Linked DNA regions of Drosophila melanogaster. The protein of the gene in region 2 interacts with the protein of the main gene of each other region in a pairwise test. Each region holds a gene or a part of one and is shown on either strand. Other genes may lie near its edges.

What was found.
Region 1: the proteins of CG7742 (region 2) and Acyp interact in a two-hybrid assay, tested with the Drosophila melanogaster proteins (2 studies listed by BioGRID).

The regions. Positions count from the first base shown.
Region 1 is NT_033779.5:13,910,342-13,913,473, reverse strand, and holds Acyp (acylphosphatase), read right to left. Parts: upstream 1,392-3,132; 5' UTR 1,274-1,391; coding exon 911-1,273; 3' UTR 822-910; downstream 1-821. Other genes in the region: Ance-2, read right to left, coding at 1,834-2,140, 2,198-2,758, 2,811-3,132.
Region 2 is NT_033779.5:5,211,763-5,217,128, forward strand, and holds CG7742 (uncharacterized protein), read right to left. Parts: upstream 3,320-5,366; 5' UTR 2,825-3,319; coding exon 2,555-2,824; intron 2,399-2,554; exon of another isoform or gene 2,390-2,398; coding exon of another isoform or gene 2,324-2,389; intron 2,262-2,323; coding exon 2,075-2,261; intron 2,022-2,074; coding exon 1,928-2,021; intron 1,879-1,927; coding exon 1,626-1,878; intron 1,571-1,625; coding exon 1,101-1,570; intron 1,035-1,100; coding exon 953-1,034; intron 901-952; coding exon 727-900; 3' UTR 633-726; downstream 1-632. Other genes in the region: Cyp28d1 (cytochrome P450 28d1), read left to right, coding at 1-59, 119-388, 451-617; CG14034 (uncharacterized protein), read right to left, coding at 3,521-3,659, 3,712-3,880, 3,943-4,520, 4,573-4,675, 4,725-4,752.

The DNA.
Region 1 (3,132 bases), 8.7 Mb from region 2:
ATGTTGTGACTCATGTCAGGTGAAAATCGAGATGATATATGGGCAGGGAACTATCCCCAAAGATGTTAAATGGGGGGAGGGGAGCATGACTCTTCACCCCGATGAATCGAATGGCCTGGCACGCTGACTGATGCCTTGATTGTCAATCTGCTGACATACAAATGAGAATGCATATATATGGTATATATTATATATTAATGTGCTCGGGGAGAGGTGTGTGATTCAGGCTGTAATTAGATTGGGATCTGCAAAGTAGCTATCTGTCTCGGATATGAGCTCATAAATATTAGACACTTTATGATGTGGTTGGCTGATTCGGTTTTCTACCTGGAACTGTTACCTTATTTTTGGGCCAAAAGCTAATTAACAGTCAAGGTCGGCCAGGGTTTTATTACCACTTGGCTATGCCCAGAATATAGTACAAGTTCTGGACAGCTAAGAACCGTGGGAAAATAGCGGCAAGTGCCTGTAAATCATTAATTTACACGAGTGAATAGTTTATGACGCACACTAAGCACGTAGTGCAAATACGTTTTATTTTTATTTTCGCCAATAGTTATTTGCATGGTTTTAATAAGTGGCTATCGAGTGAAGAGCACAACGCGTCATTATAATCAAGTGCATTTTAATTACAGGGCGCGCTTATGTTTTGCATTTGGCTTAGATTATTTCCGCTTATTTTAAGTAAACAACACGTTAATCGTCATCAAGAAGACGCTGACTGATTGAGAACAAATGCAAGCCCAACGAACTGTGACTACATCCCAAACTCACTTCCCTCGGATTGGTAATTCAAGGATTTCAGAATAATATCGGATTTCCCAAGGACTATGCTGATTATTTTGCTCAATTCCCTTATGTACCAAGCACAATTTTTCACATTTAATTTTATTGTTCCGTCAAAAATCCGCTAATTGCTATCATGGTGGCTGGAACTACTGCCCAATCCTTCATGAACTGGGCGATTCTCGTGCGGATCGGGCTTGATATGAAAGTTGGCATAGCCATAGCGATCGCGCTCACGCTGAGAACTGAACTCCACCTTCTCGATGCTGGACAGCGGACTGCCCGTCGTCCTGAGCCACTCCTTCATCACATCCATCTCGGCCGGACGACCTTCGATGTAACCCTTCACGGTGCCCCTGCTGGAGTTCATGCACCAGCCGCGAAGACCCAGTGTCTTGGCCTTTCGCAGGGCGTGTCGCCGGAAGTTGACGCCCTGCACGCGGCCAAATACCTCGAATTCGCAGGAATGGACATTATGGGTCGCCATTGCGAAGAAGTCTCTACTGTCGTTTCCCAATATGGGGAAATTTTTGGGACTTTCGACGAAATCAAAAGGGATCCAAAATTGATTTATTCTATATTTTCGTTACGTTTCACATTTTGAACAAAAACGAAAAGTATATAACACAGGCTAGGCAAATTTAAAAAACATACACAAATTTATTACTAACGGCCAATTCCAATTTGACACTCATATGTAAATATGTAATTCTACATTTATTCTACATCTGTAAAAATATTCATTATTTGCCTTTTGATTGTGGCATACTTTTGGGTAGTTGAAACCAATTGATCCATAAATAGTTTTTATTACTAGAAAATAACTTTAAAATGTGTTTTATCTCATTTTTCTATCTAAGTCACGTCTACTTTATATTTAAGCATAGCATTACTTTTCCGATGATTAAATTCAAAGAGTTCATTTCCACACACAACTTTATGGTGGAAGTCTTATGAAAGACTGTGCTAAATACCCTTCCATTATTATGTTTTTATTTAAATAATTTACTAGTGATTAAATTTCCAAAATATCCCCTGCACCAAATCTTATGTCCAGCCCACTTCCAGGTTGTTTTCTTGATTCTGGTGCTGCAACCAGTCTTGCAGAGGTTGAAAGTAGGTGAGCAGTCCATCTATGCTGATCTCCGGCTCACCAAGAAGAACCTTTAGCACCTCCCTATAGTGAACCGAAGATCCCAGGGACATGGCGCGTTTCAGAATCTCTCCAATGCCTCGCTGATCGGATAAATCACACATGTCCAAGGGTTTCCTGGGATTGCCCATTTCAAACTGACCAGTTATGGTGCAAAAGTGTTTCAACAATTGGAACTGCAGAACAATGCTCAGGAAGTTGCTGAAAATCAACATAATTTAATATTCATATCTTCTAGTAAAGATTTAATATTTTTACCTGGCATACTGGTCATCTACCTCCATGAGAAGCTTAGCCGGCACATCGAACTGTTCATTGGTTCTTTTCGTTGGAGCAGCCGCTCCGGTATAAAGTTCTGTTAACCTCCAATAGGCCTCATTATCATCCGCCTTAATGTGTCCTGCCAGGACCTCGACTCTGTAGCGATCTAGTACATAGAAGACGGGTAGCAGGAACACAACCCTCAAGCCCTGAATATACAAGCGATTCAAACGTGCAGGCAGTTCCTTCCACTTGTTATCCCTTAGCATTCCCAGTTTTCTAAGGAATCGCGGTGAACTGGCTGCCATGGAGAAACATTTCCCGATGGCATCACTGAAATTGGGAAAGGGCTCCTCTTGGAGCAAAGTTGGTTGAATCGATGCAGCTCGATAGTATTGCAAATCCGACTGGGCCTCAAACATATTGAAGAAACGCTCCTCATCGTTCAGTGGACAGTAGGTGAAGTTCGTCCTTGGTAGAGCATAGTATCGCCAGGCTTTGTGCCAGCAGCGATCATCATCATCGGAGGACACTTTCTGGGCATATGTCCAAAGTGAGCTAAAATGATAAATATAATTAAAACTGTAATACATCTGATCAAATAACTTACTTCTCCAATTGCGGAAAACCCAGAGCTCTGAAGTACTCGGCCACATTCCAGAAAACTCTTTGAGTGGTACTCAATCCACGACGGTGCAGCTCCTGGGTAATATTGGCCAATCCGATCTCCGGCGACGGCAAATCCACATACCATTCCGCCTCAACCCGCCGGAAAGCATTTCCAATAAAGACCTCTGCCAAATGCTGGGGATAAGGTCTGTTTCTGGGCACCAAATGCTCCCCATGCATCTTCCTCAGTGATCCCCTGACATGGGCATGAAACTGAAGAAACAGCGGTCTCAAGCCATGCATTATCCTGTCTAGTAGATTCA
Region 2 (5,366 bases):
CGCCGAGCTGACCTTTGAACAGATAAGTGAGCTGCCCTTCACCGAAGCCTGCATCCATGGTGAGTTTTTTGGCGAAATCTGAAGTTATTTAGTATGCGTATAATATCTATATCTGCAGAAACTTTGAGAATTTTCTCACCTGTTCTGGCTGCCCGCAAGGTGGTAACTGAGCCCTGTGAACTGACGAACAAAAACGGAGTGAGCGTGAAACTGAGACCCGGGGATGTAGTCATCATTCCTGTGAACGCCTTGCACCACGATCCCCAATACTATGAGGAACCTCAATCGTTCAAGCCCGAGCGATTCCTGAACATCAATGGCGGAGCCAAAAAGTACAGAGATCAGGGTCTATTCTTTGGGTTTGGCGATGGACCACGTATTTGCCCCGGTGGGTAACATCATTTTTGAAACAATTAAAGTTACTAAAAAAAATCTATGCATAATTTGTAGGTATGCGGTTTTCACTTACCCAAATCAAAGCTGCCCTGGTGGAAATCGTGCGAAACTTCGACATCAAGGTTAATCCCAAAACTCGCAAGGATAATGAAATTGATGATACCTACTTTATGCCAGCCTTAAAAGGCGGCGTTTGGCTGGATTTTGTTGAACGCAATTAGTTATTCAATAATGTTACGACTTTATATTAAATATAGTTTATCCAGTTGCATACATGTTATATTTCCAAACACTCTTAATACTTTAATTTTGTAACTTAAAACCACACTTTTAGTCTCGACTTAGGGCTAGTTGCACTAGGGGCAGCACCTTGATAGAGGACAAGTCTGCCAGAATCGCTTCGATGCTATCCAACGAGGCCACCTGCATGATGCTCTCCTTTCGAAAGCTAAGAATGATGATGGCGAATAGAGGAAGGATCTCCAAGCTATCAAAGCCAAGGATCTGAAAAGGAAGGGATAAGTACTGCCAATAAGAACGGAGGTGTATTTCGTACCAGATCCCAGAGGACCAGCAATTGATCGGGAGGCAAATGTCCGGAAAACGCTCGCATAAGCCATTTGAAGACCACCCGCAGGCTAAGGAAAGATATGTCGTGAAATGGGTGAAATAGCTGTCTAACGAAAAACCCAATCCCAACTCACGGCTGTATCTGAAGCTCTCGGAAATGGGACCATAACTGCGGTTCGTATGTCTGCAGCAGCTTCTCGAAGAGCAGGCACAGACTGACAATCCCTTGAGGATGCGTGTTTATGGTGGTCAAGCGATGGCAGTACCGGATATAGAAGGCCCGGAATGTATAGTATAGACTCACCGGCGAGTCATACAGATAACAAAAGGGGGCGGCAAACATGCAGATGCCGTGGAAGGGCACCACACCCGATGGAGGACCTTCGTAGGTCTTGCCCTTCACCGGAAACGTCTCGTATTCCACACATCCACCGATATCGGTGTCCCGAGAAAAGCAGAGCAGCACCTGGTAGAGCACGTCCTCGAACACAAAGTACTGGTCGTCGTTGGAGGCCGTCAACTGAATGTCCTTGAAGACCAGTTTGTCAACGATGTGATCCGTAGTCCAAACGGCATTGCGCAGCTTTTGCCAGTACTCAATATCCTTCGGGGGTATAGAGATGTATAATGAGGTTATTGATCCCAAAATCAGTAGTTACGTAGTCATGTAGCTTGCTGTCCAGCACCGAAGCCCAGAGAGCTCCCCTATAAGGTGCGGGTGTGCAGCCCTTCTTCAGAAACTGCTGGCACATGGGCGCATGCCTGGCCTCCAGAATCCTCTGGCACTGAACCGTAAGATCCGGCACTCCCAAATAGCTATCACTTCGCAGCAGATCCGCGTAGTGGGCACGCAGCTCGAAAAGATTTTTCACAGGTAGTGCAATGTGGGAGAACTCCCATTGGGGGATTTGACTAATGAGCAAAATGATTATTTACCTGACTGATTTAAACCAAAACTTACTCTGTATTTTCAGTGGTTTTGGCGGGTCCTTTTAGCGAGAGTAGCACCTCCAGTAAATCCTTTGGAGCGTAAACAGGCCTATAGTTGGCCAGATCTAGAAGTTTAACCATGGTTAATTGTTAGCTTCAATATTTACGAAATGCCTACCCATATTGTAGTTGCTCAGTTCGTTCCACTTGGCCATAAAGTCCTCGCGATCAGCACTGATCCTTGGTTGTCCATGCAATGGAACCTTCAGCTCTGTACACATGGCATTCAAACTCTTCCTAACCCTTCGATCCCAAAGCACACCAGCTCTTTTTAAATATCCAAGTGGATCACTAACGGTGGGTTTCTATTGGAAAATATAGACATAAGTAAAGAACTATTTAATTCATTTTCCCTAGCACTACATACTACTAATACCCCTAAGGCTAACTCTATAGTTGTGGCACTTCGAGATCTTCCGGTATTATGTATCATTATAATTTGTTTTATAAACGTTAAGGTATAAAATAAAATTTTGCCAATAAAGTCAAAAAGTAGAAAATGATAGGAGCAGCATGGAATACTTTTAAATACCACTCCAATTATTCTAAATTCAATTACAAGAAATTTGATAAATTGTATCTTAAAAGTTGTACCCACCGCTCCCTGTTTGTTGGCCAGGTTTTTGTCATCTGTTTTCGACAGCCGCGTGCGGACCAGGTTGTAGACAATATTCCGGATCTCCGTCTCCAGTCCGGCGCTCTTGATGGCATCCTCGAGGGTGTTGCGCATATCGTGAGTATCTACGCTGGGATTGCAGACCAGCTTCTGCAGCTCCTTGTAGATGGGCTCGTAGCTCTTAGTGTTCTTGATGGCCGCGATTACCTTTGCGGTCATATGGTGGATGCTGGCATCCTGCAGCTCCTCCATGCCGATAGCTCCTTGACCCGACCGTTCTTTCTACGTATTACTCTGCCACTGACTACCAACTAACTATTTACACCGTTTTGATACCGATTAGCCCCAAAACTTTGGGCGCTCCTAACTCCGTCGTTTGACTTTTATCGATCAAACTCCGTCGCCTGCTTTGATTTGGAGTCGATTCGATTCCGAGTCACATCCTCGGTTGTCGTCGCTTCTTGGCGACGGAATGCAAACACTTGTTTGGCTGCTAGTTTCGCGTTAGTTGTGATTTGATTCGTTCGTTTTGCCGCCCCTCGCAACCAAGAAATTCCATTATGTTTCGTTTCGAATGAAAAGCCAGAGGCGCGTGAAATTGCTTTCCATATACATTTATTTTCACGCACACCGAAACACGCTGAAACTGAAACTGAGTGGCGGCAACTTTTCCTTTTTCTTGGCATCTGTCACCTGGCCCAACGAGTTGTTGACGTGGTCGTCGGGTTGGCTCCTCCTGTTGATTGCGAAGGTGGGCCAAACTCACCTGAACATGTCAGAGTGTCGAAAGTATTTCACCTGAATATTTAGACCAGGCCGAAATATGATTTTGAAATGGCAAAAATTTTTACACGAAAATAGAGATATATAATCCTCTATGTGGTACATTATTCAATGTTTATTTATGAATTAAAAATATTCGTTTTAAGATTTGGATAGCATCCCTTACTACGTTCCAATCAATTTATCTATAATATCATCGTTCACGAAAGTTCGACCTTTTAGTTGGCGGCTTATTGAGGTAAAGTTCTCTCCCTTGGCATAAGGAGGACCATTATTGGTATCCAGAAAATACCTGCCTCTGGCTCTGCAATTAAATAGATAAAAAGAGATCTGGAAAAATAGGTGCTGGCACTTACTTCGGATCCACGTGAAAACCCATCAGCTCTATATTTTTATCAGGAATGCAAATTCCCTTTGCGAAGCTTTTAAAATTGGGACAGTAGAAGCCATAGAATCCAGAAGGTGACGAAATAGACTCGGCATAATAGTCTGCTGCTCGGTTATGGTAGCAGAAATGAGTCTCCACTAAAGTCAGAACAACGAAAATGAAAAATATAGGTAAAGCAGATGGCCTTAATATTACTAACTCTTATTAATGGGTCCGCAGTTGGGCTGTGATACACCCATGTTCAAGTAGAAGTCCACGTGACCCACTGCATCCAGTAAGCCAAGCATCGTGACATCCGTGTGCACGACGTCCACGAACTTGGCATCAGTGGGATCGAGCTTTAGAGCCGGATCCTTGACCATGTAAAATGGTTTTGCCGGATCGAGGGCTGTAATATGCTCCAGCTTGTGTTCCGGAAGAAACTGCCCAATGAAGCCTGCGACATGGGCACCTAAGCCCAAGCCAATTAGGTGCAGATCCTCAATTTTGACCAATCCGCTCTCGAGGAGTACTCGTAGCAACTGAGCAGTACAGCGAGCTACGTATTTGGCATTGTGCACCGCTTCCGTATAGCAGGGTTCATAGGCTAGTTTTGGATAATCCAAGGATATCAAATTGTAATCCTGTGTCAGGAACAGCGGACGTAGCTGGGTATTGGGACTGAAATCGCGGTGCCCGTTGAATCCATGGATCAGAACCTTGAGCGGTTTGTGGTGATAAAATTCAAAACGATTAAGTTCAAAAACTGAAAGCTTAGTTCCCTCCTGATTTTCTTTTCTGCAGATACGGATAGATAATGAAAATCATAGTATAAAACCATTAATCTTACGTGTATAGCCAAAAGGAAATGTTGGCATTGGGACAAATTTCGTTTTGCAGGGAAAAACAGTTCATATCATCTAAGCCAGCAACGAGCATAACACTCGAGAAGCCTAAAACACGATTACTTTATGACTTTATTATTAACTCAGCCTGAATTACCTATTAAGACCAAGATGTTATTCATCATTCTCTTCGATTCCGTTGAGGCCTTTACTGATTTTTTTATTTTCCGACTTTATATGCTCTAGGTTCCATAAAATCTTTTTAATTAAGTTTGTCTCGTTCAACCGAATAAGTAACCGGAAAGCTTTTCTAATTGCAAAATATGTGCATCTGTAGCGCCCAGGGAGGAGCAGTAAAATATTATAGCAGTGGAATTCTGCATAAAAGTTAAATATGATTAAATTATAAAAAGAACAGAAATAGAATTTTAAAAATCAATTTAAAAATAAATAGGAAGTCAGTAATTAATTAATTCGCGGTTGACTTCGCTCCTGGGCAGAACAATTTGCAGTGGTAATTACATCGTAAATCTAGCCTTAAATTTCATGCCACCAAAATGTCAGCGTTCGAATTAGAACTTATGCCACAAGTGTGGCCAACACTCAACTCAAGCTATTTATACAGATACACATTTTGGGCATTGAAAATTATGCAAAAACAATCGAAGTGCCACTGTGTGAGTGCACTGTGGTCGCCAGAGCAACCCAACCCAACCCAACCCAACCCCTCTTCCCATTGTGCCATTCCGTCACCTCACTGGGACATTCCAAATGTGTTTCACGTTTTGTCATAAATAAT